3 linked regions of the Schizosaccharomyces pombe genome follow. Changing the gene in region 1 together with any one later gene gives a genetic interaction. Each region holds a gene or a part of one and is shown in the gene's direction. Other genes may lie near its edges. The genes, in order: luc7, mug117 and SPOM_SPCC4B3.06C.

Evidence for each region.
Region 2: mutations in luc7 (region 1) and mug117 together harm fitness more than expected from each alone (negative genetic interaction), as found in Schizosaccharomyces pombe (one large-scale study listed by BioGRID).
Region 3: mutations in luc7 (region 1) and SPOM_SPCC4B3.06C together harm fitness more than expected from each alone (negative genetic interaction), as found in Schizosaccharomyces pombe (one large-scale study listed by BioGRID).

Annotation. Positions count from the first base shown.
Region 1 is NC_003421.2:890,670-894,402, forward strand, and holds luc7 (U1 snRNP-associated protein Luc7), read left to right. Parts: upstream 1-1,842; 5' UTR 1,843-2,050; coding exon 2,051-2,845; 3' UTR 2,846-3,167; downstream 3,168-3,733. Other genes in the region: ubiquitin hydrolase Ubp1, read right to left, coding at 1-997, 1,223-1,542; RSC complex subunit Sfh1, read left to right, coding at 3,502-3,733. UniProt on the Schizosaccharomyces pombe protein: Component of the U1 snRNP particle, which recognizes and binds the 5'-splice site of pre-mRNA. Together with other non-snRNP factors, U1 snRNP forms the spliceosomal commitment complex, that targets pre-mRNA to the splicing pathway.
Region 2 is NC_003421.2:1,255,992-1,259,339, reverse strand, and holds mug117 (protein mug117), read left to right. Parts: upstream 1-1,846; coding exon 1,847-2,407; 3' UTR 2,408-2,546; downstream 2,547-3,348. Other genes in the region: bye1 (transcription elongation regulator), read right to left, coding at 1-706; SPOM_SPCC645.12C (uncharacterized protein), read left to right, coding at 1,068-1,664; cca2 (ATP/CTP tRNA nucleotidyltransferase), read right to left, coding at 2,547-2,690, 2,750-3,348.
Region 3 is NC_003421.2:1,163,359-1,166,530, forward strand, and holds SPOM_SPCC4B3.06C (NADPH-dependent FMN reductase), read left to right. Parts: upstream 1-1,829; coding exon 1,830-2,432; 3' UTR 2,433-2,516; downstream 2,517-3,172. Other genes in the region: protein Nro1, read right to left, coding at 1-692. UniProt on the Schizosaccharomyces pombe protein: Has several reductase activities that are NAD(P)H-dependent and involve FMN as a cofactor. May be involved in ferric iron assimilation.

The DNA of each region.
Region 1 (3,733 bases):
GGTGCTTTTATACATTCCTTGAAACAACTGAACAATTATGGAATCATTTCGTTTTGTATGAATATCCCAACATTGATTTGCAACTCTCTGAACATGTAATGGGTGTTCGTCAAATAAATCTGGCCTTTCAAAGTATGGTTTTATCTGAATTCGATTCAAATCTTCGTGTAACCCGTCTAAGAAAAAGGCGATGAATTCCTGAGAATCTTGCTGACGATATCCAGAAAAATAGGTATTAAACTCGCCAATTATAAATTTGAAAGAACTAGGTGACACCGAGTGCATATCAGCAGTATGATGGATCATCTTCAGTAGACTAGCATAAGACAAGGCAACTTTCCCCATCATTCCCAACGGATTGTTGTAATTAATATCCTTTTCATAAGAATCACTAAGAAAATATTTTGTAAGTTCGTGTGTATGTATCATACATTGAAGGGCAGAATTCATATAGCATGAATTACCCAAATTGTAAAGACCGCAGAGTCCGATTTCTTTATTTATTGTTAAATTTTGCTCTTTGGTTATAGAGTCAGATAACCACTCTCCGTTAGGATGTTGAAACTCGAGCAATAAGCTTCCATCGGCAATATCTATTTCGAAAATAGTCATGCAAACAGCATACTCGGAAAGCAAAGCAATCGCAGGTTGATCATTGAACTCCGACAAACTTACAAACCTAGAAGATAGATTACTTTTGTTTAGATACCATAAACGGAAAGAAGTACCATCAGATATTTGGAAAGCTTCCATCACTTGTTTGTACAAAGACCGAAGGGTATCACTTCGGGAAAAGCTAAACGCATAGGGTTCATCACTATGATATGGTTCATCAATTTGGTATAATGGTGAATAGCTCGTGTTTTCACCGTTTATTGGGTCGAATAAAACGTGCAAAGTAAAGTTTATAGGATAGATATCTACGAATGGCTTTTGCTCAGCAGCCAATCCTACCAAAAGAACTTTTCGCTCTATAGCTAGACCTTCTAATCCAAACCTATATTTGAGTTAGCTAATAACATAATGGGAATTGAAAAGAGGCCTCAAAATCCAAGGGAACCTATATATTTAGGCACCGTGGGAAGTAATGCAAACTACATAAATTAATGAAATATTCAAAACTAAGACACAATGCTTTCAAAACATATATGAATATGAGTTTTGAATTTAATTAATAATGCCTTTTACAAGTACTGTAGAGACCTTTAAAGAAAATTCATACCACTCAACAAGCATATGCCATAGCGAAGCAGAGACAATGCTATAATCAATAGATTCCTCCAAAGAATGTTTAAGCTCGTTTTTTTCATCCAGCAGCCTCCATTGAGTTATAGGACCAGGGTTGTCGCCTTCTCCATATATAAAGTCAACGTATCCTTCGAACCAGTCATAGTCAATTAAAAAGGCAGTTTTTTCTTTTTTCCATTTTTCTTTATCCTCTTTAATTAAATTTATCGAATCTTGGAACGGCAATGAAGCAGGTTGGTCGATCCAAATTTGGGAATATCGAGTGCTTGCGTTTTGAGTAGCAGTTGATGCCATTCTCAAAACATGGTCATTTATTCGTTATATTTTTGTTTCTTCAAGTTCCACTCTTATAAATTGCAAAAAATTGGGGGAATGGAGTTGTTGGTTTAAGTAAACTTGTTGTACCAAATGGTGAAAAAGGATTTATACAGGTGACGCATATTGCTGCCCTCTGTCAAGTTTGAGTTTTCAACAACAATTTGTAAAAGTTGATCTAATCGAAAGAATAAAGTATCAATATATTGCCTCGTCTATATTTAACGATTTAGAAATAGCAACTTTTGAACTTTTCCGGGAAATTTTTTTTTGAATTTTAACCCAACAAGCTACTCAAATTACATCTCAATCAAATTTGAGCGATTGTAAACTTTAATTTTGATTTAATTGTGAATAAAGGAAAAAATTCTTTATACTACTTGTAAAACCTAGTGAAATTTTCTATTCATTTTACAGCGTTTGTCGAAAACCCACAAATAGGACATCAGCAGAGATAAAATTACATTTTGCCGAAAATACACTTATTATGGCCGCTGAACAGAGGAAAATCATAGAACAGTTGATGGGCAGTAATTTGAGTAACTTTACCTCTCGAGGCCTAGTACATTTCACTGATCGCAAAGTTTGCAGAAGCTTTTTATGTGGTATTTGTCCTCATGATATATTTACAAATACTAAAATGGATTTGGGGCCTTGTCCAAAGATCCACAGTGACAAGTTGAAGTCGGATTATGAACGGGCTAGTTATTCACATGACTATGGCTACGAGTGGGATTATCTGGAAGACCTAGAAAGACATGTTGATGACTGTAATAAGCGTATTGATATTGCTGAAGCTCGTAGAGAAAAAACAAAAGAGGAGGAAGAACGGATAGATGAGCTAATGCGAGATATAATACATACCGACCATTCAATTGAAGTTATTATTACAGAAATGGAGGCGCTTGCAAAAAGAAAATTAGTGAATGATGCAGTTAAACATTTTATTGAGCTTAATAGGTTGAAGACATACAGGAAAGAATTATATGATGAAGTGATTTCCATGAATGAAATTCCCAGTCAGGCTAGCACAACGCATCAAAAGCTACAAGTATGTGATATTTGTAGCGCTTATCTTTCAAGATTAGACAACGATCGTCGTTTAGCTGATCACTTCTCAGGAAAAATGCATCTTGGATATGCCATGCTGCGAAATATTGCTAGGGATCTTCGAGCTCAATTAGAGGACCGTGAAAAATCCCGTGATAAAAAGGACGGAGAGAAACAAAGAGATAATTTAGCTTCTTTTGAAGATAAAATCTCAACTTCCTTTGTTGCATAACCTACATTTCGTAATGAAAAAGTGGAGGATCTCAACTAACCGCCTTTATTCGCTTAGTGATGCCTTTTACGCAGACCTATATAGAATCTTATTATTATGTTTACCTTTTTACGTTTATGGTTGTTTCCTTACTTGCTTTTTTACAATATTCTTCATGTCATGCACAAAATAAGTGTACCTCTTATATTTTATATTCGTTTATTTCTAATCTCACAAGGTATATTGATATATGTATTTCAATTTGAATAACAGCTATAAGTATATCCTTAAAATAAAGCAGGAATAAACTCTTTGCCTTAATATTGTCGTACTAACCCAACCATCCTTACTTGTCCTTCAGCAACTGTTTGTTTTGGAGAATCTGAAATCGAAAGGAGTCAAACTATTTTACTAAATTAACTTTTTATTTTATTTTGTATAGATATCCTTGAAAATTCTGTGATTCGAAAGTCCAGTGGCAATGTAGAAGTATTAAACGTTTATCAACGGTTCTACCAAATCAGGGCCGATAAAAGAACTCTCGATTATAATTTACGTTTAATACAATCATATAGAATAAATAAAAACATAACATAGTACTTCCAACTGTAAATTGACTTGCGGCTTACATAGTGTTTTTTGGCATACTTGTGCAAACTACCGACTTCACAATTTACATGGCTCAAGCTTGTAAAACCACATACTCATCTCGTTTGAAAACGGGAAATACATGCTTAATCCAAAAAAATGTTGCAGTATCGACTAGGTCGCATTCTTCGTATACAGGCAGAAATTCGTTGAGAAATGTTCCAGCGGTTAATTACGCCGCATTCGAACAAGGTGAGGATTTTGAAACGCCAGTAGAAACTCCAGAAAAAGAAGAGGAAAAGTTCGAAACGGATGATCGGG
Region 2 (3,348 bases), 370 kb from region 1:
CTTTCTCAATGATTTTTTCAAAAACGGAAACCCAGGCTTTGGCAACACTTTTTCTAACAGGGTTTTGAATTTCATCGATAGAAGTGTGTAAACTAAGCTCCTTTTCCTGATCTGCAGTTTCATTGGAAGCATCCTTAGGAGATGTTTTTGGTGCATTCTTGCTACGTTTGGTATGAGTAGCCGTCGTACCAACACTGCCTCTTCGTTTTCGAGTTGAAGGTGGAGAATGAGAACTTTTTGGTGTCGTGGAGCCAATAGGAGTCCTAGGAGATTGTCGACCAGACCTAGTAGTCATTCCAACATTAGAATTTGTCGAAGCAGGCTCGGATGATTCTAGTTCAGCGCCTGACTCTTTAGTAATCGCCTCTTTTGAATCAGAAGATACAACATTATTTTCTTCATTGTTTTTCTCGTTCCCTTCATTAGAGGCAAGTAAATCAGCTGTCTGATGCTCTTCATCCTTATTGGGAGAATTTTGTACTTGTGATGAAACGTCGCTTCGCGAATGACAAACTTCACAATAGTAGCTTTCAGGTATATCCTTATCCGCTAATCCAACGCAACTGGCATGTTGCCAGCAATCACACCCATCACATTGAACCCACGTATCGCCAATGTCTTCTTGCGATTTACAAACACACCGAACAACAGTTTCAGGAGGTTTTTCTGAGGCTTTTGCCGTCCTTCTAGTGCTTTTTCTTACCATGCTTCGTTATTATGGGAATAAAAAGTATTTTGATCAATGACATCTGTACTTCAAGGTTAATACATGCAATTCGAATAACAAGTGATTGAATGCGTACTAAATAAACTGAGGAGATTAAAATATATGCATAACTAAACAAAAGTCGTTCCTGAAGTGTTTAATATCCTCACAAAAGCTCGTCAAGAGTTCTAAAAAACAAGGTGTTGGCAGGTATGGGTTATTGGCAAGTGGCAGCAGTGTTGTAGTTTGTTATAGCAAAGGTGCAAAATCTGCGAAAACTAAGGATACATGCTATTTTATAGTTCGAATGCAATATTTTACGATTAAATGTGAATATTGTTAGAAAAGGAGCTTCAAAAATATGAGTAGTGCACGAGAGTTACTGAGGAAAGTAAAACAAGAGCGATTAGGGCAAAAGCGAGGTCTGAAAGCCTCTAGTCAAGAACTGAAGCGTCAGAAGACGAGAGATCATAAATCATTTGAAAATTTAGGTCGTGATCAATCTCGTGAGCTGGCAGTAAGTGATTTTAATGAAAAGCAATCTACAGAACCTCCTAAGGATACACGAGCGGTGTCCGCACTTCCAGAAAACTTTTTTGATGAATCTATTGCTAAAAATAAAGAACTAATTGAAGAAGAGTGGAACGATTTTCAAAATGAGATTGGCATTATTGAGGAAAATGCTGTTGAACAAGAAATAACACTCCAACAGCAACAGTTATTGGCCGAAAAGGATGAAGAAAATGAAATTGCAGATAATGATTTAGAACCAGAAGTTTATGATATTCTTTATGAAGAAGAAAGCAAATTGGGTGAGTCGAGGGATCTTATCCGTCGTTTGAAACAAAAAAGGTTTGAAACTAAAAAAAATAACTTTTCTGTTAAAGAATCTAGCAATTTATCTAATAATGACTCGGATGCTTCACTAGATGAAGACACCTTGCTTTGGGGTTTGTAAAGCTCTGTTTACGATCTTAAAAACAAACAAAAATATTGACACCAACTAAAAGAATACTGTTTATATTACATATTCTTTCCTTAACCAAAAGAAAAATATTAATTAATTAAGAATAATTGCAAATAAGAAGCATTGCTTTAAACACTTTTGCATATTTAATATATATTAATATTTCGGAAGGAATGTGGAAATTTTGTTGTGTAACAGAGAAATTAACTTTGTTCCTATTCATATACGGAATCTGCATTTACATATGCATTGCAGTCCCAATTAGAAGTGATCTTAGTACTGTCTTTGAGCCAGAAGCAAAAGGCTCTCGAATTACTTCAAACTATCGAAGAAGTTTATTTAACATGCTTGGATATGATAATTCGGTTCATCCTAATAACTGTAAGGGCTCATTTCTTTGCCCTATGCTTCGAGGAGAAAATCGTGCGTGTCCGAACGCGTACATGAAGTATAATAGATCCTTGATCTACCATGGATATTCTTCTTATACAGCTAGTTCTTGCACTGCCATTTATGAGTGCGAAGGTGATTATCCAGCACGCACAGGCAACGAAATCATTGATGAATTTGATCAATTAAATTTGCAATGTTCCGCTTGTGGAACTCGTTTTTTTAATAATGATAATGAAAACACAAGATGCTATGTCAAATTGAACTACTGTTATCCAGACTGTACCGAAATTACACCAAGCACCAGCGAATACGATTATCGAGAGCCGGTTAGAGATTGGTAATAATAAGAGGAAAGGATCCATTCTGAATTAAGCATAAATATCATAAATACGAATTTCCAAAAAGGACGACGATTACTGGTGACTTTTATTCTTTTAATCTTTTGTGCGATTAAGTTATCTAAACAGTGATTGTCTTTTCTTATATTTTTAGGGATTGAAGGTATGCAACACAATCTTCGACACTTCCTTCAGGGTGTTTAAATTGCCAGGAAATCATGTTATCCATAGTCTCTTTCAGCTGCGGGCCAGGCTTAACTCCCACATTTTTCATGATCTGTTTTCCCTAAAAAATTGTTAGCTTATTCGCTCAATATTGTTAACAGAAATAAAAGAATTACATACGTCTAATAATGGCTTCATGTTATAAGCATTTTGTAAATTTTTGTCATAAATAAAGTCATATAGAGATTTATAAGAACTAAATGTATTTGATACAGATGCTGCCGGTGTTTTACAACAACTATATATGACCGATGTTAAAAACACGACTTCCCAGGATTTATTCAATTGTCGTATTAAGCTGCCAATAGATGAGCAATTTTTAGTGGAAGTATCGTTAACTAATTCATCGAATATCGGATTGAATGTGCAGCACTGATTCAACTGGTTAACATATGTACTTCTGAGCTTCAACTTGTCTTTTGCGATGATTGCAGGAATATAAAATTGTTTTTTCTTAACCATAACAGTTTGACTAGACCATGGAATTAGAGCAACATATAGCCATAGCCCAATTTTCTCATCTTCACTTAATTTCATAAGTTTAGGAAACGTCAATGCAAGACTCTGAAATAAAGACTCGGTAGCTTCCAATGCCTTTGGAATTTGAAATTCTTTTTCAGCTGGCAAAGTATCGAACGTAAACTGATACGTGTTCGTTGAATATAACAGTTGAAGTGCTAGCTTCGCGTTTGCACCCTTCAACATTTTCTCAATTTCCT
Region 3 (3,172 bases), 270 kb from region 1:
GAATCGGGGGTAAGAGCATCAAAATATTCAGTGGAATCCTGAGCAAGAGGACGAAGGTATTGGATGGCCTTCTCAATATATGGGTTTACCAACTGAGTGACCGGGATGTTGGCAAGAGATTCCTCGTTATCGTGACGCCAAACAAGAACACGTACCTTCTCAAGGTAAGCACGAGCAAGAGCAAGGAAAAGTCTCGATTCGTTGCCAGGAGCATCCAAGCCAAGTTGAGCTCTCTCGATTGCAGCATCTATGTAGGATTCTTCGGTATTGGTTTCCTTAAGACGCTTTTGTGCAATTTCGAAAAGCTCGGACACAGCCAAAAGAGCGGAGGAATAGGCCGCGTGAAAGTCCTTGGGTAATGTAGAAATGTCCTCGGTATTCCGTAATATTCTATCAGCCTCGTGAATGGTACCAAAGACAAGGCTCACACTAGCATCTATATCGTCATTTTCCAACTTTTCGCGACTCATCTCGTATAAACCCCAAAGTTGTGAAATATTGTCTTCCTCTGTGTAAACAAGCATTGTCTCATCCTCCATTTCTCCATTGTCGACATTTTCGCTTCCGTTTTCCTTACTAGGAGACGAGTTTCCTGACAGCTCATAAGAGGCTTCTTGCTTTTGTTTTTCAAGCTGCTGCTGCTTCTTTAAAGAAGCAGCAGCGCGTAGACCTTGAGGTCTTCTTCCAATCATAACGAACCGTTAAATTAACCTGTTTTGCTAAGGCAGCGTTGACATCGAGTGATTTTTTCTACCCAAAAATCGCGCGGGAAACTTGTTAGCAAGTTACAACGTAATGTGGTATTGTTGTTGCGTTGTCGGCCATGTGCGTTAAACCTAATAAGAGCATGGCGTAACAAAAACAATACCGTCGTTTTGTGGCTGTGGAAAACGAGTTACCAGAAGCTTGGAGAACTTGACATGTTAAAATGTATTAGTGGAAAGTATAGAGGCTCGTAATACAGTCGTACATATTGACTTGTTTACAAAAATTGATGATTTTAAATTGTGAAGGGGAAGCTTATTTTAAACATCTAATTATGCAGCAAGATACATTAACACGTTTTGGATTTTCATTGTTAAAAAAAAAGAGCAAAATTAAAAAGGAGATGGAAGAAAGTAAAGCTTTATGACTTCAGCGGATCTAGAGCAATTGAAGTAAACATATCTAGCCGAAATTTAACTTAGTAAATTGATTAAGATAGGTTTCTGTAAAGGAGATCTATGATATTCAAAATGCGGCAATATTTCTTAGGGCTTATGGCGCAAAAAGGTGCTATACAAAATTGCCAGCACGAGATAACATTGAAGATTTGGCAGTTTTGTAATGTAACGCTAATCTTTATTAAACAATAATATAATACGAAATCGCAACTTTTATGTGGTTTTGACCGTTTCTTTGGCAGGGAATTTGAATTCGTTTCTTAGTTTTTGAACGATATCTGATCAACGAGTTTGTTTATTTTAATTTTTTTAAACGGCTGCTTTATGGTAATGGACCAAGATTGCTCCAGCACCTTAAAAATACAGCACTAGTATATATATTTCGGTCGCCATATCAATAAATTACTTGATTCAGGTGCCGAAGTAATAAGTACTTAGGATGAATGTACTAGATGAAATTGAAAGTTTGTTAGCCAATTATAAAACAAAATAAAGCCTTTTTTACCATTTGATGACAGAATTTCTAATTTTTTTAATATTACTAAGTTATCTTGAACAATTAGTCATGTCCGAGGCTCGGACATAACAACATGCTAGTTTATAAAAGCACTACATTGTTTCACACAGTAAAAGAATACTCAGATATTCATTTACATTATTAACATCATGACCTTGCCTGAAAAATTACTGAAGATTACTCCCAAAATCCTGGTTATTATGGGAAGCGTTCGCAGCAAACGCTTATGTCCAACTATTGCAACGTGGGTTGGTGAGATGGGAAAAAGAGAGACTAATTTTGACTACGAAAAAGTTGATTTAACTGATTGGCCTCTATCTATGAGCGATGAACCCGGACTTCCAATTATGGGAATAGATGTGTACACTCAGGAACATACTAAGGCCTGGGGGTCCAAAATTGCTGGAGCAGATGGTTTTGTTTTTGTAACTCCGCAATACAATGGTGGATATCCTGCAATCCTTAAAAATGCCTTAGACCACTTGTATCACGAGTGGAATGGAAAACCGCTTTTGATTGTAAGCTATGGTGGCCATGGAGGAGGAGATTGTGCTTCGCAACTAAAACATGTTGCCGGTTTTCTTAAGATGCGAGTCGCGCCTACCATGCCAGCGCTCACGTTACCCAGAGATAAAATTGTTCAAGGTGTAGTCGACCCAGCGGTTGAATTTACAAAGCACCTTGGTGAACTTAAGAAAGCCTTCGGTGAGTTTTCTCAGTTGTTTGAAAGCAATCCTGAAAGGAAACCCTAGATAATTAAAACATAAGAGTATTTTGAAAGCTAGTATAGAGTGCATTTAATAAAGTCTGTTTTTTGTTTTTTTTTAAAAAGCCAATTTTCCAGTAAATCTGTTTGGTTTTAGATTTTATTCACATGGATAGATCTATTACTGTCATATCAACTTACCAATGGACTCTAATACCTTAATCCTTCCTGCTGTTCGTGTTGCCTAATGAAGGATTTTTAGCACGCATGTATTAGTAAACACGGTTCATATTCAGTCATTGTGTAATACGAATTTGTTCAGCAGTAAAAGTTCCCTTTAAAATTATATTTTAATACAATTTCAGTGAAGCTATTCGTGTTTTTCGTTTATAAGAAAAAGGACATAATTACTACTTGAAAAACTGCTTTGTTTTGACTGTTAACATGTCAAGAAAATATGTACACACATGTAGTCGTTATGAATAATATGCATTATAAGCATTATGATATGGTCTCGGGTAGTCAGGCCTCTGAACCTTATACCAGTCTACAATACTATCGGTTTTAGGTATACTTTGAAGGGATTTTAGTTTTCAAGACAACGGCTCAATACACGAGACTATGAAATATCTAAACAAATTAACTAGATTTGACTAGAGAAAATGTAGAATTTACTGCTAATTCTGCCAAATCTTTTGTGGTTCCCTATTTTCTTACATGGTGATACGATCTCTGGTTAGCGCAATCCTTTCTCTTGTCTCCCACATTCCTACTATCTTTACATTA